Linked DNA regions of Mytilus edulis. The protein of the gene in region 1 interacts with the protein of each later gene in a pairwise test. Links are inferred from orthologs where the notes say so. Each region holds a gene or a part of one and is shown in the gene's direction. Other genes may lie near its edges. The genes, in order: proteasome subunit beta type-7-like and proteasome subunit beta type-4-like.

What was found.
Region 2: the proteins of proteasome subunit beta type-7-like (region 1) and proteasome subunit beta type-4-like interact in a two-hybrid assay, tested with the Caenorhabditis elegans proteins (2 studies listed by BioGRID). The link is inferred for Mytilus edulis from reciprocal best matches to the Caenorhabditis elegans genes pbs-2 and pbs-7.

The regions. Positions count from the first base shown.
Region 1 is NC_092345.1:65,568,559-65,579,899, forward strand, and holds the start of proteasome subunit beta type-7-like, read left to right. Parts: upstream 1-3,819; 5' UTR 3,820-3,870; coding exon 3,871-3,929; intron 3,930-11,341.
Region 2 is NC_092354.1:64,495,171-64,506,511, reverse strand, and holds the start of proteasome subunit beta type-4-like, read left to right. Parts: upstream 1-5,330; 5' UTR 5,331-5,360; coding exon 5,361-5,494; intron 5,495-11,341.

The DNA.
Region 1 (11,341 bases):
ATTTTGTCTTCACGGTCGCCATTGTTGTGTTTACAATGTTGTTTTTGTCAATCAGATACGATTTTACTCGAATTTATACAATATTTGTCGGCGAATTTCTGTATAAAGCTAGCGGTTGAACAAAATGAACATCGCTGTCATGAATAATAATGATAAAAATAAGTTTTTAGCTCGTTTAATTGGAGACTTTGGTGACTTGCATGGAGGGTTTGCAAAGTAATTTCTTATTTTCTTTCAAGTGGAAGGTAAGCGTCGGGCGATGCTAGAAACCAACTATCCTAGTCGAAATTCCGCTTGCAAAAGTGGAAGGTCGCGGACCTCGGACCACCGCTAATTTGCACACCTGCCTCCAAATTGAAAAGCTACGAAAATTTCTTTTTCTAATTTGAAATTGCCGCCAACTACTGACGTAATTGTACTACGTATTGATGACAAACAATATCCCTACGACTTTTGCCATTTGGGAAATCTAAACTACTTGTCTTAAGAGATTTTCGGCGATTAAATATTTCATACAATTGTTCTTTGACATCTTAGCTAAAAGCACAAGTCATAATGAACTACACAAGGATTCTTAATAAGCACTACTTCCTACGTGTAACTTCAAAACTTTTGGATAAATCGACGATCATTTAAGGTTTTTCTGGTCATATTTTTTGTAATCCAGAATAAAAAGTATTAAAAAAGTGTTCAATTAGTTATATATAACATAGTAGCGAGCTAGATAATAACAATGGAAAGTATTTCACCATTTATTGGGTAGAACACAAATCTAGGGTGCTCGCATAATGCAGCTTAACTGCATAAAAATCATTTCTAGTTTATCTTTTCCTTTGATCATGATCATCTGGTTTACTATTTCTGAATCTGTAATTTGCATTGTATAAAAGTAACATCCCAGGGTCAGATTAATAAATTTACAAAATTGTATCTTAAAAGATAATCAAAGGGCAGATTGCTCTGAGGAATACTATTGTCATTGTTTTCATTGACACATGTATTTATTATTTCAAAAATAATTCAACTGCACGTGTAAAAGAGGGACGAAAGATACCAGAAACTCATAAATGGAAAATAAACTGACAACGCCATGGCTAAAAATGAAAAAGACAAACAGACAAACAATAATACACATGACACAACATCGCAGTACTTATCACCTATTTTCCTATGTGAATTCTAGGTTGAACCCCATTCCTAACTCTTTTAATATTTAATTTCCTTTGGGTCAGTGGGCATTCCTCTGTTTAAATTGCGATTGGTTTTAATATAATACAACGTCTATCAACAGAAAGATTTTTTTTCTTGACGTATTGTCGTTGACAGATACTTACAGAAGCTAGGGAGACTAGTTGAGGGAGACAACACGAAGCGATAATATGGAAGACTCCATTTTGGCTGAAGGTGTGTTCTTATAACATCTTTACGTTGTGGACTACATTTCTTTTAATTTCAATGATGCATAAGATTTAAAATTATGCAACAACAATAACCCTCAATAGCAGACAGACATAGAAAGGATCTCGTGAGTTGGGAATCTAGAGCAACCATTCAATCTGATACCCTTTCAAGTCAAGAAAACTATATGCATGCGCATAATTACCTAAACAAACTAGACTTGTGATTTGTAGCAAGGACATATATAAAATGTTAATAAAACGACCTCCATTTCCATGATTTCTTTATGGAAGTACAATATCAAATATCAGTTTCATAACGGTGAGGGCATGGGCCTGAGTCAATGGTATAAGTCTACAGATTGCTTAAAAGCAATCCCATCCCAAAAATAAAAGAAGAAATCAATATTAGTCATTATCATTATTTTTTTTAATGTAAAAGAAAACTAAAGAAACAAATATTAATGGAATAAGATGAAATACATACATGTTTGATAAATCATCTCTTAAAATTTTACAAGTCTGATAAACATGATAAAAACTTTATCATCATGATCATAATCAGGCGCGGATCCAGAGGGGGGTTCCGGGGGTTGGAACCCCCCCTTTTTTTTTGGACGATCAATGCATTTGAATGGGGACATATAGTTGGAACCCCCCCCTTTGTCCTGGGTTAGGAACCCCCCCTTTTTAAAATGGCTGGATCCGCCCCTGATAATCATGGCTAAAAGTAAAACTTGTAAACATGGTTAAAATCATAAAGTTATTTTTCAAAGTTATAAAAATGAAAATAAATGAAAATATATACAACACCTTTTCTATAGCATAAAATTATAAACATGATAAATGGGGAATGTGTTCATGGGACCCAGAAGATGCCCCTGCTTGCATATCATTATAAAGGGACATTACTGAACATGCTGAAGAACAGAAAAAGTGACTCTACCAAAATTTGAACTAAATCATGTTAATCTGAGTTTTGTGGTAATAAGACATGTAAGAATTGTGCAAAAGTTTCATAAAATTTGGTTTATGCAAACTTAATTTAGACATGTAAGAGAACAGATACAAAACATTCAGCAATTTTTCCATTCATAAAGGGGCATAACTCTAAAAATTTTAGTGACAACTTTTGTGGTAAGAAGCATAGTGTAAAATTTTCATAACATTTGGTTGAGGGAAACACAAAATTCAGCAATTTTTCCATTTGTCATGTTTGTGAAGGAGCATTACTCTAGAATGGTTAAAGTGAGGCCCCCCCCCCAAATTCAAACTTGATCTTTATTTTGTTGTTTTATTAGCATTGTGTATACATATATACTTAGTAAAGTTGAAGATGAGCTTCATTTCTTATTAGAATGCCCTCTTTATGATATTCAAAGGGACGATTTTTTTAAAGACATTTCTAACAATTGTTGTAATTTTACAAATTTAAATCAATCTTCTAAATTTGTACATGTTGTATGGCTCTTGACCCAAGAAAATGTTACTCTTATGGAAAAACTGGGCTGTTATATTTGTGACTGTTTTGAATTAAGGAGATCAGGTATGAACACTGACACTAAGTCAAGTAAATAATTTGAGAATTAATACATATACATGTATAATGTAATTTTATTATTCTTTTATTCACAATATATACAATGTGTGTGGTTTTTAGCTTGATTCTGACCAACGCTTATATTCCAAATATATATGTATATGCCACTATTGTTGTTGTTACCAATTATGTAAATCAATTGTATCTGATTTTATGCCCTTTATGGGCCCTGTAATTTGGGAAATAAAAATATTCTATTCTTTTCTATTCTATATATGTAAGTTTGATTGCATTTGGTTGAGGCAAACTTAAGTCAGAGAACGGAAATGAAAAATACATAGTCTGAAAATAACACCAAACAGTGTTAGAGTTAGGTTTTCTGCTGATAAATTTTTGTCTGTCCCTCAACAGGATTTTAACTTACACCTTTAATACACTACAGCACCAATTGCTTAGCCTCATGTCCAGTGCTCTAGACCACTCGACCAAATCCGCTGTATAAAAATATAACTTCAATAGTCGTAGTGTTATCTTTTCACAGAAGGCGAATCTAGAGATAGACATAAGACACGTGTAATTTATATATATATATGACATGTAAACTGTACCATGACATAGTCAGCAGATAATTTCCACTGGAACTGTAGTTTTTGATAGCTAATGCAGGAAGAGTTCACCAAACAAACAAGCATATTTGTACAAACAAAATTAAAAAATCAAATTATTTAGTGTTGCATAATTATTCTGCATTACTTTCTTGATCTTCTTTCTTCTTCAAGTTCTTGGTTAAAGAAAAATAAGAAATCTCCCGCAAAATGTAGTTGTTATCAATAATGCAAGAAGAGTTCCGAGCGAATATTTCATCTGGTTGCCGGTCAATGATTACTATGATTCGTGAGACTCAACTCTCCAAGGTACCAGATACAATATTGAATGATGGCTGCCCTCACAGAGTTACCAACCGGTGGTTTTAATTTCGATAATTGCCAGAGGTTTAACTATTTTTAGATATAATAATGATGAATGTTCAAATGACGCCTTTTCAGCATTATCTTTAAATATAAATTTCCCTTCTTTCAGTACCCTGGAAACGATTATCTTCTCATTTGAAAACGACAAGCAATGACTATGCAACTTTGTGTGAAAAAAATATTTATTTGTATACAAAAATGACAAATTTAACGAATTTTCATTTTGATCTACAAGAAAAAAGCTCAGAGGGTTTTCAAATGTGATGATTTCTTCAGCATTGTATATGTATTTTGTGGTGGGAGCTGTTGGTCTTCAAAATTACAGACAATAGACTCTTATTTTTTTTTTATTGTCCAAATAATTTATAATTTTAATGTCTGGCAAAGCTATTTTATTATTTTTCTGTGATGCCGTCCTACGACTTCATAAGGCTGAAGCCATTTTTCACGTCTGGACTTTAAGAGCAAATTTTGGGGGTAACTTTGAGACATAATTTTGACAAGAATTTTTTACATAGTTTCAATGTCCTACCTTTTTTGTGATTATCACTTTTACATTGTGGCGTCAGATGTTTTGTATTATGACGTCAATATTTAAAGGAACCTTTGTGATGTCCAGTAATGGCTGACAAATAGCGATAAGGTGTATTAATACAATAGAAAACCCAATTCAATTAATATTTTACTGAGTGTTTAAAAACCCAATTCATTCAAAGTAGAACCCAATTATTCATGTTATTTATTAAAACTATGCATTCTGCATTTCACAACCCTTTAAGTTGCTGTTACATTCGTTATTTATCTTGAATGATGAATTATTTTTGTGTGATTTATAAATTTCTATTTTTGTATTTTAAAGAAATCTACTTTTTGTTCTTAAAATAGAGCACTTTTAAATAAACCATTGTAATTACTCTGGAGATTTTTGCTCAATTACATGTACTTTAATGTAAATATAAATGAAGCGATAAGGGTTGAGAAGTTACAAATGGCAGATCTAACATGGGTAACTGAGTCCTTGTTTGATTCATTAAACATTTGTCCATTGCTAAAATTTGTAGCTCTTTATTTAAAACAAAAATGCACTATTTCATAAAAATTTTCTTTTTATAACACTAAGGCCAGGGTTTTTTAATTTGTTGGTTTACGGATTTTACCCATGAAAAAGTCGAGTCGGTCGGTCGGAAAAAAAAGAAAAAAAAATATCTTTCAAGACAGAAAAATATGGAAAACAAATATATATTTTATCTTTCTAACAATATGTTTGTGATGCTATTTTATCATCATTTCTTAGATTTTAGTTCGATGAAATCAGCTGTCATAAACATCGCATGACATTCTAATAATTTCCCGTAAACAAAAGGGGGGGGGGGGGGGGGTGCACGTACAAAGAAAATTAATTTCAGAAAACTTGGCGAATTATGATCTTCAAGCACAAAAACTGATAAAGAAAAAAAAATGTAAAAACGTCACGAGTATGAAAGTAAGTTTCAACACACGTGTCAACAAACGTAATAGACTCGTCCACTGGAAAAAACGAGGATATCGGGTTAATCTGTGTCATGCATTACTGTTTTCACAGTGTAGATACTATTCTGTACGCTATCCGGAAGTCGCGATTTTCGAAGCGAGAACTTTTTGGATCACATTTTAAATTTGATAGGTATACTGAATTAAACGGTAAGTTGATCATCTGTACATTGCTTAATGATTAATTCAGCTGGCATCGATATTTTCAAATGGTTAAGAATTAAATTCCGCACAATCATTATTCGTATCTTTGCCTTAATCAAGAGATTTTCAAGTGCATCACTAAGAAAAATCAGTCGGCGAACCTAAACACAATCTTTTTACCCTCTTAGTGTACAAATCAACATAAAAACCTGACTTAATTAACTAAATGAAGTATATTTCAAGTGGTGGTAAAAGTTTCAACCAGATCTTTGAAGCCAGAAATAAGAAAATTACACTTGTTTGAATTTCTCACTGTACGATCAGTCTCGCTTGTATATTTAAAACTGTATGATCAGTCTTTATGTCACTGTATTCTAGTGGTGATTTCAAAGTTATTTACGATACATTAGAAGGTGGCATTTTTCTAAATAACACAAATATATTTCAATGAATTCACATCCTGAAAACTTATGAAACATGTTTTAGCTTTATAGGGTGTACTCGACTTACTACATTAAGAATAAGGATGTTTAAATGTTGCTAAAATAAGAGAAAGGTTTGATGTATACTAGTATATAAGTTTCAGAAATGTCCTCCGTTATTCTTAAAATTGTACAAACACACAGATTTAGTTGTTATATAAAAATGCATGTATTTACACACATTCGAGGCCGTACTGTAGCCAATAATTGATCACAGATGTAGAGCTGTCTCTTTGACACTCAATTGTCCACCACTTTGTCAAGCGGGGGGTTATAGTGATAAAGAATTCCGTCTTTCCGTTCGTCCGTTGGACCGGTACAATATGTTTCGCCAGTTTGGTAAGCGCATCTTCTCATAAATAACTTAATATACATTGGGGGTTCCGGCCATTTTTAAATGGAGAGGGGATCCAATCCAGGAGAAAAGGGGATTCCATTTATGTTATCATAAATGATAATGACTGTATTGTGAACCGTCTATTTCAAATTTTAGTAAAAATCTTGTATGGGGTTACTTTATATAAGATACGGACTTGAACATTGCATTATATGGGGACACCCATCAGGTATTTCCAACACCTCCTAAACCAATCATTAAACTTTTCTGAAATTGCTCCATTTTTACTCGATTAATGCATTATGGACCTTCTATTTCTGTAAACTTACCAAAATTATATCACATGAATTATCCCCCTACGCAAAGCTGTCTTTATCCATTTTTTGTTATTTTAAAAGAGACAATCTTGATTTATGTTATCATCAATTGTTCAACGGCGGACGGTGTAAATAATCTTTAAAAATATAATAGCTAAACAGATAACTGCAACGATACACTATTACAAAGTCCACAAGCGAATCATGTATTACTTATGTTATAGTTCCCGGGATAGTTCATAATATCACATATATACACGTATATACCTTCAAATTGCTGTTGTTTTTTCTTCAAAATCACGACTGGTCATACAGTCAAAAAATCTGAAATCGCTTCTAGAATACAGTCAGTTATAGACTGATCGTACAGTAATTTATTTTAGGATCCTCAAGGAAAACTATTTTTTTATGGGAAATACGAATATTCTACTTAAATACAAAAAGAATATTGAAACAGTATATAAACTGTAAACTGATGCAAATATTTGCAATAAAAGATTATTTGCTTTGTACTACGAGAGCAAAATTGTCCATCGATTTCACTTTTTTCTACCAAGTTGATGTGATGCACACGTATATTTTATATTCTAATGTATGTTTTTGTTACAGTTACTCAAATTTATGATGCTATATACACCTTGTAGATGTTCAAAGCACTTTGTAGATATAGGAGTAAACAAATGATGAGAAAAGTTACCATAGGCAAAACCGTCCTGTTAGCCAGTTGGAAATCATCGCTTCGAAAATCGCGACTTCCGGATAGCGTACAGAATAGTATCTACACTGTGGTTTTTATCCAAATGAACGATATTTTTTATTATAGATTTATGAAACAAGATAATTCCAAATGATTATTTAATATTCAGTTCTTTAACTTGACGTCTTCCACCTGTCCACATTTGGACAAGTCTATTTCTATCAGATGATGCATCTTACGGACTGATGACAAATACGGGAAACAACTTATTTTGTAATTGGTTTTAAAGGTTACGTTTCGCAAACTTATTTGCGCAAACGACATTTCTGATTTTTCAAGGTCAGTTATACATGTTATAATTGATTTGTCTATTTTTAGAAACGTAAACTGGAAGTTTTATTTTTTACACTACAGAAAGTGTTATCAATTTTGATAGTGATAAATGCATTTCATTTCATAAATAAAAGAATATTTTAATTATTTTTCAGGGATAATGCATTTGTTAGGGTTGGCGGGAATAAAAAAGCATGAAAAGTGAATTTTATTTTTATTCTGGAAATCGGCAAAATCGAGTCGGCGAATCCGTAAACCAACAAATTAAAAAATTCTGGCCTAAAAAGAAGAGGTAGAAAAAGCACCTCAGACTTAGTTTATTAAATTATCTGAAAACTGACACATTCTAACTAATAGAGAAATGTCACCCATTATCAGTCAGAGCTCAGACATAAATAAGTCTGAATCTGCTTTTGACTTATAGATGTCTAAATTTGTAAGTTTTAGGATTTGTCTCCCTTTAATGCAAGACAAAATACGACTTAAATAAGTCAAATATTGTTAAGCAAGAAATGATTGACCAGAATCAAACAGTTGCAAATATCAACTCCTACAAGTCGATAAGTTACCAAAATTGGTCAACTTCAAGACCCAAGCATACTTATAAAAAGGTCATGCATCTAAATCAAATAATGACAACATTGAAAGCCAATGCCTTGTCTAGATCTTCTAAAGAAAAATATGAATGAGAGTCTGAAAAATCGGGGATCATGTTAATTAACCTTACAATGCAACCACCTGGATCCACACTTAATGAGGTAAAACATCTGTGTTTAGTAAGGATGTTCAATTAGATAATTAAATATAGATAGATCAAGTCCTTGTGAACTCTCAGACAGGTTTTTACTGTCAAAGGTGGTGTAGTTTGGCCACCAAGTCAAGTTAAGTTTTTTCATCAACATAAATAGACCTAAACAAGTCTGTCATTTTGTGACTTAGATAAGTCTAAAATTGAAAACACATTTTTATAAAGAATACATGTTTTAACTTCTTTAAGTCAAAAACAGAAATAGACTTGTTTATGTCTGAGCTCTGACTGATTATTATTTATTCCCTCATGGAGAAAGCAATAACTGGACATTAAATAACCATCCGTTCATCGTGATCATATATTTATAGTGACTGTTTTGCTATTTATATAGCCAAGGACAGTAGAACTATTTTACTTTAGAAGAAAAAACTGAATGTGTATAATATTAAGGGACATAGATAAGCCATTAAGATAATATACATATGCAAGTAAATAGATTACATTTGTATCATATGTATACATGTAAGTATCTTACAAATTTACTTGTACAATGTATAAGTATATACAATGTAAATATTCACTTCTTCAAGTAAATAAAAATAACCTGTACAAGTCATTGCAAGTGGTACTCATTAATGATAATTTTTAGTGGAAGAAGACGTCAAGTCTTCTGAAGACTTAAGGGGCTGACCATTGACATTGAGTCTCCGTATGCCGCATTCATTTCGTGTATTACAATTTCAAAACAACTTAGATTCCTGACACCGATTTTTACACATGATTAGGCATCTGAATCATTTAATTTGTAAATTATGATTGTAAAACAATCACTATCGTAAATATGACCCTTTTATTTATGTAAATTATTAGATTTCATCTCATCCACATGAACGTTATTTGTTTACTTGTAACAGGATGTTTTAACTGTAGATATTTGTATTACGCATGCGTGAATTTGGTATCGGGACAACTCGCCCTGTTTACAAGTTCGCCCTTGAAGTTACGAATTTGCAATCCTGCAGACAAGAAGATTTTGTTTTTATATAAATAAAAAGGATATATAAAGTGTTGTCTTTATTCATGGTTTTCCTTTGTCATGTGAATTAGATGCCCTTCGTAACATACATGTGAACCTCCCGTTTAGGAGAAAAAACTCCCGTGTATGAAATTTTTCAGACGCCATATTTGATCATTTCTTACTACTGTACGGGTGTAATTGACACCTGTGTTAAATTTTACCTGAACATCAAAGAAGATGTATAATTATATGGCTTCAATTGACAGCTTGGGTGTCAAACATACTGGTAATCAACGATGTTTACCTCCGGCTAACTGCCGTTGTGTTATCAAAACGATGTGTATTGGGAATATTGAAATACTTTTTTGTTACTTCCCTTTGTTTTATCCTGTTTTCAGTTATTTTGCTTTTAAAAATGTAAATTGTAAAAAGACTATAAATGATTAATATTTTAATCAAATAATCATAAAAGGATGTTGATTAAATGAATTTAAATGATTTTGGACAAATAAAAAAATTAAAATTTATAAATTATTTTAGCAATCTAGACCTCCTTTCAAGGATTAAATTGAAGTTTATATCATAATTTTGTTTACAACAGAATGTTGTTTTTAATTAATTTACGATGTTGCAAATATACATGTGGAGCTTATTTCTTTCTTATTTGTCTATACATTTACAAATGATAAGGAGATGAAGACATGAACAAAAATATATACAGATAAGATATATAAATATAATGATTCATTTGCTAGCAGTGAACAATCATTTGTCCAAAACAAAACAAAACAAGAAACAGATTCTTCTTATTATTTTATTTTATTCAAATAGAGAGGCAATAATGGAACTATAAACATTACAATTTGATGGAAATTTGAAGAAAAAACACAATTTCTACATCATTTGGTTACATTTATGACAAAATTTATGTCGATAAAAAAACATGATGTTTTGACCATTCAGTACTTAACCCTTTCCTCCATAATGACGCTTTTTGACGCCACCCCCTTTACTCCATAATGACGCCTGTGTAGTACCTCAGTTGAAACACTTTGACTACAAAGTGTCTGCAGTAGACTCAATAAAATTTGTATCCAATATGAAAAGGAATATCATAGGAATATTCTACTTAAATTTATTTAATGAAATATTTGTTTTTTGCAATGCATTTTAATACTTTAAAGCCTATTTTCAGCATTTTATTGAAAAATTCTATTTTGTGTTCATTTTTTACAGTGGGTTGTGATGATCTTCCAGTTAGGTTACCCTCATTTGGAGTGTTGTTCCCAACCTGTTAAAGGTCCATCTTTGTGCATAATTCAAAATTGGAAATTTCAACAAGCATCTAATATTCTTAATCTGGAAAATAAACCCTGGTCTGCTAGCTTCATGTATATTTTTTCTACCGATTTAATATATGACTAGAATCATGCAAACAGACTTAAGGAAAAGGCATGTAAGTTTATCATACAAATATGACACTTTTTCTAGACAATCCAGATCTTGCAAAATACGTCGCTAAAAATTGTAACCTTTAAAATTGTTGTGCAGTAAAAACCCATATGGGAACTTTCAAAAGTTGGCAGGTATGTAACAAGTCTTACTATTTTTATGCTCCATTTATGGGCAATATGTTTTCTAGTCTGTCCGTCCGTCCTGCTTCTGGTTATAAAGTTTATGGTCGAGGTAGTTTTTGATGAAGTTGAAATCCAATCAACTTGAAACTTAGTACACATGTGTTCCTCTTGATATGATCTTCTTAATTACTGCCAAATTAAAGATTTTACCTAATTTTCATAGTCAACTGAACATAGAAAATGATTG
Region 2 (11,341 bases), on another chromosome or scaffold:
GAAACTACAAAATGTAGGTATTTAAAAATCATATTTGCATAACTCTTAAAAAGAAAAGGGTATTGAAAAATCTTCAGTGAGCTTCTAAATTCCCATGTGTCATCTGTAAAACACCAGTTAGTTGACAGATAAAACTATGGTGATTTAAAGTGTGTATTTTGAATCAGCACATGAAGCACTTTTAACAAACTCAGCTTAAATCTTTATTTTTGACATTTTTTGTACTTCAACTAAGAATAATATAACAAGACATGCTAGATGTCCATAATGACTAATAACCAACAACAATCTTCACAAAAATGAACCACAAAGTTCCAAAATAATGTAACATTGGGATACAATACGACTTAAAACTATAATTCATAACCCGTCAGAAAATTTCTTTATTGGCCTAAGACTTTTATAAAATAAGGTTTGAGAGCACTGTAGGGTAAAGATTGCATTCATTCTTAAGTAAGAAAAATTGCAATGTATTAAAAAGCATTTAAAGACAATGCTATGAATTAGAGATATCTAGAATAAAACAATGATAAAAATTGTAACCCTTAAAATGATGTCTCCTCAAAAAACACCCAATGGAGATTTTCAACAGCTTCAAAATGGTAGAGAAGATATGAAATATCTGAGAGAGGCAGGGACTTATTTGAAGAGAGACCAATTCTGTACGATTTCTAATCTAAAAGACATAAAATTTCAGTCTAATCACCAAACTGACTGGCTACACCAAACTTACTGACTACAAGAAACATGAGAAATAAGTAGGGCAAACCCACGACATGCAACTATGGAGCATCAGAAAAACCTCACCACTTTCTCTTGGATTTCAAATGCTATAAAAACGAACAAGACAATATGTTCAATCAGGGGTTAAAAAATTGTGTTACAACTAGCTAGCCCAGGACCTATTGGCAGCAGGATTTTACTAGCCCTGTTGGAAGAACTACTAGTCCATCAAAACTGACCTGCTAGCCCTAGTATGCCTTAAAAATTAAGAGTTTGCTGCATAATACAAAGTAGGCACCCTTTGTTTTGAAGTAGACATTATACACTGTATTTAATATTTTTTGTTGATCTGTTATTTATTCTTTTGGTGCTTAACTTAACTTAGTTGTTCCCACATTCAAAGCAGACTTTTTATTGGCGTGCTTGGGGCAACAAACGGCAATATTAACAGAGCATTGTCTGTTTTTTTCATCAGCAACAGCCAACCTTGCCAGGGTAATCATTGTGTCCCAGTTCTGCCAACTTTTCAGGAAGTGAATGCATGATTTGTTGGCCAAATTGTTAAGATCAAAGAGAAAAAAAATAGATCAAAGGAAAATGCTGCCAAATAAGGGAGCTACCATTTGATTTTTATGGGGGGGCTAGGATGAAAAATTTTGTCCTGCATTTTTTTTTAGTTGTAATCTCTGTCCTGCCTTTTTATTTTTCACTCTATTCGGTCCTGCCTTTTTTTTTATTAATTTATCCTGACTTTTTTTACCTAAATTGTCATCCTGCCTTTTTTTTTTTGCAAGGTGTCTCATCCTGCCTTTTTTTTTAACTCAAAACTCCTGTCCTGCCTATTTTTTTCAAATTTCATCCTAGCCCCCCCATAAAAATCAAATGGTAGCTCCCTAAGCATGAACATGTGTGAGTCTCACGCTAAATACTTGACAGCCCTGCTGTCCTGGACACTATTATTTTTTTCCTCGGTTTTTCCCTGTCGTATTTAGCATTTTGGGGGGATGAATTTTCAGCCTCGTTACTCCATTCATCTACCGTGTTTCGTTTTGAAACTGACAAAAGTTCCTGGGGTTCCCGTACTAAAATATTAAGAAATATTTTGTTGCATAGTTTCGTGCTCAAGAGCTGTGCAACAAGACATGTCAATACCAATCAATACATCATACCCCCAAATAACGTTAATTGAAAATCTCGGCACGATACGCAATGTACAATACCTCAATCCATGGTATGAGAAATCGATATTTAAAGTACGAGAATCAACACATGATACCAGGCCACCCAGACATGCCAGAGTTATTTGTTCTATGTTTAAAATATGTACAACAGGACCTGTACAAACCAGTTCAAATTCTTGGAATCCCGGATGACTTAATTGAATCGAAATGGCTAACATAGAATAGTGATGAACGGATTTTTCACTTTCTATTTTGGAAACGTCAAGAATTTTTTGTTACTAGTCCGTCGGGCATATCGGATTACACATTTTAATTGCCCGAGGCGTAACTGATCTAGTCCCGGGCGTCGGGCTAGTGGATTTTTTAGCCCCTGTTCAATCAAATATCAAATGAGGACAGTTTAACAATACTTTATTTATCAACCAAATTAATCAGATTAGGCAACATGGAAGTGACTTAGTGTAACTTCAAACAGTGGCAAATAATATGACAGAGCTGACAGTTTGGATACTGCATTTCCTCATTCCTAATCTTAACCAGTGCATACCATTCAAACACACTCACACAGAGATAATAAGAGAAGAATTTGAAGCATGAAGGAGTAACCCAGCAAATGCGAGACAATTTGTGCTAAGCAGGTATGTTTGACAGCACAGTCAATAGGTATATATTTGATGCTGCAGAAGCATTTTCTCTACCACAAGCCATTATGTTCTGGTAGGTTTTAGATTAAGACAAGCATGTATCATTGTATACAATATTTTAAAATAATACATTTACATGTACATTAATAATTGTTTCAGCAAGGATTTGGCTCACTATAACAATGATATATACACAAATGATACAATTCCTTTGTTTAAGAAAAAAGGATTTTTTTTTATAACAACTGGCCAAGTTAGGGAGCTTCCATTTGATTTTTAAGGGGAATAGCGCTAGGATGAAAATAATAAAAATAAGACAGAAGTTTTGAGTTAAAAAAAAAAAGCAGGATGAGCAATTTGGCCTAAAAAATTTAGCAAGATGACAATTTCAGTAAGAAAAGTAAGATATAAAAACCAACTCTTCAGAGAACAATTCCACCTCGATAATAAGAATGAAATTTAAAAAACGATGTAAGAAAATGTCACTCCATCATTTTTGTCCATGTTGATGTAATGTGGTAAATAAAACTGATACAAATAAAAAAAAAAAATTAATAGGTTTATGCAGAAAACTTAATTGTTTTATAATGAACCAGAAAGAATTTTTAGCAAAGGTCAAAATCTAGAACGTCAAATTGACCTTTGACCTTGACCTCAATTTTGAGGTCACAGGTCAGTGATCTCAAATCAAAAGACCCATGGTCAATCACTTGTATGGTTGTGAAGAAATACTTATTTCAAATACAAAAGGGGAGAAAACTCCTATAAGGGTTAACCAAAACTCTTCGACTTAAATAGGTTGAAGTTGCACCTTTTTGTAAACAGTTATTTGGCAAACACATCATGTCATTTACTGTCACAGTTTCTTTGGAATATCGATAACAAGCAATATTCAAAATTTATTACATGACCTTGACCTTTGACCTAAACCTCAATTTCCTTCAATGGACCAAGGACTTCATATCAGTAGACTGTAGGCCTCTACGACTAATAACATATGAATTTATCCAACAAATCGCATCTTAAATTTTTCAAGGGAAATAACTCCCGTAAGATGTCTTCCGATCACTCAAGTCAAAATAAACCAAATCATTCTTAAGAATAGACGAACAAATTGGTGAAAACAGTTTGCTAAAATCTTTTACGGTTTTAGAGATATAGCGATAACAAGAAAAAGGGGACGCGGGGAGATAACTTCTATAAGAATAAGTGTTTGGTCACACAGGGTGAGTTTTGAAACCCCATTACTGTACAACATCATTGGCCAAAAATCTATTCGATATGTTGTAAGACGAAAAAGCACCTCAGATGGTAGAAGGAAAAAAAAAAAAAAAAAAAAAAATTAATCAGAAGAAAAACAAAAGGTCTTTCCACACCTAATAAACTATTAAAAAAAAATCCAAGATCGAAAAAGGGTGAAAAATAAAAAATGGTCGTAATTGAAGTACTTTTATGATGATTAAAGTTAAAATTTTTGCCAAATGATATTAACAGTAATTTTTGAGGCATGATGATAAAATAAAATTGAAATGTTTTGACAAATCATTGTAATTACTAATTAATTTTTTTCAAAAAATAACCATTACGATAACTATTTGAGACCTCCGAGGAATCACAATAACGATATGTTGACGACAAGGCTATATTTTTTTTTCTGGGACGCCTTCGAATCTCAGTATTCAATGGTATTGCAGAAAAAATTTAAACCAATTTGACATTAATGGTGAGCTAAATTACCATATGAAGCAAGGCGTTGAAGGGAATTATTACCCTCATAAAAAGGCAGGACAGAGATTTACAACTAAAAAATGCAGTTCAACATTTTCCATCCTAGTCCCCATAAAAATTAATTTGGAAGCTCAATGCACAGGCCACAGGCACTTGTTTCTATCCATAGGAAGGTCGACTATCCATTTAATCTATCCATAATATATCTATTTATATGGATAGTCGACCTTCCTATGGATAGAAACAAGTGCCTGTGATAGAAACAAGTGCCTGTGGCTCAATGCCTATGTTTTTTCCCTTGCCCATTGGGAATCCCCATTTAACGAGATACAGATGCTTCAAATTATTTACATTCAAGCTTATGTTACAAGATGTCCAGACTATTTTTGTGTTATATAAAATAAAATCAGTAGCTATTCGTTTTTCGCAACATTTTTTGTTTTGTTCGCTCCTCCTACTTTCACTTTGTGGGTTACACTAATGTCCTGACAATGACCTGACAATGTCCTGACAGAAATGAAAATGCTTAATACTTTTTTATTATTGGAAGGATTTACTTGAAATTTGGAATCAAGCAAGATGAGAACTTATATTTAATAAATAGAATTTAAAAAAAAATAAAAAATATTTTTAAGAGTTAGAAAACTTGACCTGACCAACTTGACTTTGAAACTACTAATGTCCTGACCGATATGAAACGGCTAAAAAATGTTTTATTATTGACAGGATAGACTTCAAATTCGATACCAAGGAAGATTTATACATTTAATACAAAAATATAAGAAAAAATAAGAAAAAAAATATTTTCAAGAGTTAGAAAACTTGACCTGACCAACTACGTACTCCCGTGACTAATGTCCTGACCGATGTAAAACACTTTGTCACTTTTAGTTACCTCCCTTAGAATGACTTAGTCTTTAAGCATATTCCTTATTATTCTGAATGAAACTTTAGGTGTATAGAGGTTTTTTAACTTTACATTAATATTTTGTCGTATTTTGCATTGCAAAATTCACTTCATTTACTAACTTTTGATTTGATAAATTTAGAGAGTAATGCAGTCGGTATCCACTTCCGGTAAAAGATGACTTCGGAGAGTATGATGTCTACAGAATTTTGGAGAAATGGACCATCTCCTGGTTCCGTTTACAATTTCCCAGGCCCAGGACAGACTGCAATGCAAAATCAATCACAGATTGGTGCAGCTAAACGTACACTGTAAGGCATATCACAATAAACAAGTACACATAGAAAGACGAAGCCGTGTTACAAATCCCCCCTTTTTTCTCTTTATTTTGAAACATTAATGTCATTGTTGGTAGTAATGTTGAAATTAGTCTACCAGTCAGTTCAAAACCATGCATGACCGATACATTTGACAGATCATTTCTTTCTTGGCTCCATTCTGTTTAATGTACAAAATAATGAACAAAAAACAAATGTGTAACAAACGAAAACCATTGAATTACAGGCTCCTTTAGACTAGTCCAGCCCTGGCCTCAGTGACTCATTTTTTTTTTTTTTTTTTTTTTTTTGTTGTCACTGAGTCCAGCTCGCCCTCCATTACCTTCAATGGTGCAAGCTCCCGGGTAGATTACCCGGGGACGATAGAGACAATGCCCGAGCGCTCAAGTACGAAAAATGTATCACAAATGGTAAAACTTGATAAAATAAACAAGTTACATACCTGAAATGCTTGTACACTATATAGAAACTCATCTTAACAAAAGGAAATCCCTTGCAGTCGGAGCTGTGGACATCTTGTTTACATCAGTAATGCTATATTACGGAACGTGACGTTTCTACGCTATAACGTTAGACGAAACGAATTCAATGAATCGATAAAGATTTTCAACGTTTAAACTCGTAACACGATACCGAATGGCATATCTCCCGATTTCTAAACTTTTTGGCACACTTGTATTTTGAATCTAGTTACATCAGTATAAGTCATTGTATGCATAAAAACTTTGATCACCATTTTTGGTCTTGTAATTTTATAGGAAAACGTCAATTTTTGCGACAAATTCACATATTGCTTTTTATCCATCAACAGAATTTAAAAGGTTGGTTAATCCGAATCCAGTTCCAAATATCCACCACTCATCATAATATTATGGCTAAAGCTGTAGCCATGTCTGCCAGTCGAGCTCTAAGTTTATTAAGTGTTAAATGTAAAGCACATTGTGGTTTCTAGCACAGTACCTTTAAAACATTATTTGATACTCTGGTCTGGTCAGTAATAAGCTACGGTGCATCCATTTGGGGCACTCGTTCTTTTTCTTGTATCAACGCTGTCCAGAACAGAGCTATCAGGTTTTTTTTATAGGTGTTGGTAAGTATACGCCAAATGATGAAATTAACGGGGACATGGGATGGAGACCTCCTAGTGTAAAACAATGAACATGTGTCTTAAGGCATTGGGCAAGATGTAGTGCCATGACCAATGACAGAATAAATTATAAAGTTTTCAAATGGTCCCATAAAAATGCTGTAAATAATAAGAAAAACTAGTGTAATAGAGTCATGAAAAAAACTTAAATATTGTAACTTTGATTTGTATACTAGTATTAATAGTGTGCTGCATAAAGAAAGTTGTTCCGTACAAATTGAAAATGTTTTATTTAATAAATATATTGCAGAATGGCAAACGAAAATTTTGTCACAGAGTAATGGTAACATGCTTCGTACTTATAAGCGATATAAATCACAATATTGTACAGAGTTATATTTAAAACAAAATATGTCTATTAAATTTAGAAGTGCTTATGCAAAATTTAGATGTGGCGTTGCGCCAATTAAAATAGAAACAGGACGATATGAGAAAAAGCGAGTAAATGAAAGATGTTGTTTCATGTGTAAAAACGAAATTGAAGATGAGAAACAGGTAGTTACTTTATGTCCTTTATATGCAGACCTTCGAAATATATTGTACAGTACTGTTCAAAAATATCGATTCGATAACTTTTTTCTCCGATTTCCGTGTTTCTCGGAATCACACCGAGTACCGCGGATTTCACTCCTAAAATCCTCCAAAGATTCTCTCCCAACACCGCGTGGCTGTTAATTGGTTTATTGCCCATCGGATGTACTTCAAATTAACGACGCGTGACAACATAATTGGATTACCCAGATAATTTACCTTTGAACATTTAATCGATCTTGGTTGCACAGGTGTGCTTTAAAATCACGGTATTATAAATTGAACAAATGTTTTCCTTTCTTTGACAGATAAAGATGTGACAATATCATTTAGAATAAGATAATTATTATCTTTTATATTTGTGTCTTATGCCGTTATCTTTAAAATAGAACGTACATACGAAAAAGTATGAAGAAAATTGTTATTTTGTGTTTCTATTACAGTCCGGTCAGGTCATACATTGTGTTCTTTCAGCAAGGACGATTTTGCCACAATTAGTTTCTTTTATAACTTATTCAATAAGCAATATCAGCGCATTAATTGTTCATTATTAAAAAATCAACTGGCTAATAAAATCATGTTTTTTTTTCGGTAACCCGATTCATCGGATCATCAAGTAAACTTAATTTATTGAGCAATGTAAAATATGATGTTTCACCACCTCGGTACATTTATACAGACTTGAATAATTCAAATTACGAACAGAAACTGTTAAATGACAACTCTGTTGACAAAGGAAATAATTTCAAGTGATATTGATAGTGTTCGTCATTTTCGCATTTTACGGAACGGTTTTCAAATTGACGAAAGTATTTATATCAATTTCGTCATTTGAATTTGGAAAGTGAAAAATATTTTCACATTAATTATATTATAAATGTACTATAATTCTACCGGTGTTTGACAAGTTTATGACGCTCAATCATTTTACGTTTACAAAAGATGTTAAAAGTTGTGATGATAAGTAATCCGCTTATCGCTATCCGATAGGTCACTAATCCTTTAATTATTAATAAAATTTATCAAACCTCATAATTGCCCATCATAATATTCTATTCCAGTTAAATCAGTCATCATTTTATTTTCAAAATTTCCCAACCGCCTACAATTGGCATTTCTTTATCGTATTATCATGATTATTGTCATTTGAATACAATCAGTCACCCCGGACAATTTCCATCATAATTTCCATTAATACATCACCAACTGTAAATCTATATTATTGACCATGGACATATAACTAATGTACTTTCTTTTTTGAAAGATAAAACATTAAAATTCAAATAGTTAAAAATGTGTTCACGTTTATTCGGATAAGAATTATATTTTCCCGATAAATCAATTGTAAAAGGACCTTCTGGAGCCTCAATACGATTGCACAAAAATGTCGCTCTGCAACTTTAGAAACCTTGAATGGACTTTCCCACGGTCGGCCAGAAAGGTCACCTGAGTTTACTAGTACGCGATATTTTTTCCCGCCCTTTAATAAACTCGTGCTGTGGATAACATTGATGTTAACTATTTTTAGCATTTAACATTGTTAAGTAAGTCAAGTTCAACCCAAACTGTTGATAACTGAGATGTGTATCGTGGAATTGTCTTCGCACGGCAAATAATTGTTTTTAAAATCTTTTGTTGAAAATACACAAATTTACATTCATTGTGCGAAAGTTAATATTAAACAAAGACGAATTAATGCAGCTGGAAGTATTCCTGTTGTAACGGAAATGTATTATTATTCTGCTGTACTGCCAACAAATCGTAAAACGAAAATGCCGTAATTGTTTTAAAAGCATAACGAATGGTGAATAATCTTTTCCTTTTTACTTGAATATACAAAACTTTCAAACACGTAATTTTATTTAACTGCTCAGATTAATTTAGCGAAAGTTTCCGGTTATTTTTACACAAGTATGCTCATTTCGTAAATAAAATATTAATTTACTGGTGAAGACATCGAGGTCAAAATTAAGTAGTTTTCATTTTTTATAAAACTTAAATACAATTGAAAGAATTAACAACAACATTTTGCTTTTAAATCTTTTATTCATTCCAGCAATTAGATAATCGTAAAAAGAAAATGCCGTAGATTTACACAATTAATACGGGGCAATCATTTTGTCTAATGAATGGTGAATAAATTTTCCTTTTTACTTGCATATATAAAACTTTTAGACTTATAATTTTTAAATAAAGACTTTAACTTTGAAGTAGAATATTTTGTTTTTCACATATTCCGCTATATTTTATAATCGTTTTTTTTTAAAGCAAGTACATTAAGGTTAAGATATTTTTAGATGGGCTAACAAAAAATACGAAAATATTTTGACTTTAGTTTTTATTACCACAAATGAAATTTAATTAGTATAAAAGACATTTAAAATTATACACCGGTTTGACACTTAAACTGGTACAGTAGACCGGAAATATAACTCTTTATAACTTCAACCTTTACCTGTCAGGTAATCCAATTACCCATTCAGTCTTGTGCCGGTATAGATCAAAGTAGGATAAGGGCAATTAATTCCTCGGTGTCGAGAGTGAGCTCGTTATCACAATAAACATTTACCTGATTTTGGGAGAGATTACTCCCAAATTCCTCCCAACATTTTGAGAGGAATATCGGAGTTTGTCGGAGTGGCTCCGACATTTTCCTCGGTGTAGGGTGTGGGAGAGTTGGTACTCTTGAACTGTACTGTATAATGAAGCAGTAAAACATAACGATCAATTTTATAACTTGTCTTCTGACGAAAAATTTATACTTTTACTCAGTAATGAAGGACTATTACACTGGTTCCCTGAAAAATATTCTAATTTCAACCCATAAATGTATATGTAAACAATAAACCGGTCAATATAAACAAAACAACGATACCAAGATCGACGCTCGTGACACTTTTTACTTCCAATATTCTCTAGTGAAAAACAGATACCCGGAATAAATACACGGTGGAATGAAATTACGCTTACATATGCACCCTCTATATAAGTAAAACACTCCCTGCAAAAATTCCAGTTTGAAATTGTGCATGTACGACATGTAAGCCGGAGTCTGTATTCTGCATGTTATTTTATATCATGTATCATAATGCCAAATCCAGCAACCTGTCATTTCCAAAAAAAAAAACCCTGACGATATACGCAACTTTAGTACAAGCATGCAAGCAGGTATACTATTTAAAAGACTGCCGTCCTAATAGATAAGCCGTATATATGAAACCTATATATATACCCAGTGCAAATTGGACTGCCGAACGGTTAAACAATATGATGGTGCTATTTTATAAGGAATGTGGTGACAATTCATGTATCAGTGAATATGCAGTGTAGTGAAATGGTAAACTGGTGTTATCAAATGTAGCAATGTTAGCAAGCTATCATGTACGTCAGTTGGTCTTTGGTGGAAAATTGTTTCATTGTCAACTATACCACATCTCCTGATTTCATTATGGTTTGATTTTTCTCCAGAAGTTCAATTAGAAGTTTAAGGACTTAAACAAATATGTACTAGGAAACTGAAAAATGTCTATGGTTTTGATGTCGTTAATTGTATAGCCTTTGCTATCTTATTGTATATCCCATACCTCCATTTATTCACACAAAAAAAAACACCCAAAAAAAATCCAGAAACCATTTCGGTTCTATATCGGATTTCTTCTGTACAGAACAATGAATTTCAGAGACTGTTTTTACTTGGAATACAGGGAAAGTTATTCAAACAATAACCATTTTTTTTTCCCATTCCATGCTGACAAACTAATTTTTGTATGATCATGAGTTTCAACGTCTGCTTGTGTTTTGCTTTTTCCTTATTCAATCCGTATTCTTTCAGTCCAATAAATTTTGTTTTTTTCTATTTTTCTATTGGTGTTTTTTGTGATCATATTCAAACGGATTTGCATTAATAGGGTTACAATTCCCGGATTTTCATACACCAACCTGAGTTTCTATAAATTAAATTCCTACTTCCAAAACAAAATTTCATAGGGATACGGCGTGCATTATAAATGAAAAGTTTTTGCAAGAATATAAATGAGAAGTTATTGCAAGAATAAAAATAAAGTGTTAAAACTCAGTCCGTAATGCATAAGAAGATATCTATAATACTAAAATTACGAGGTCCAATTTGTCAGCCGTCATCA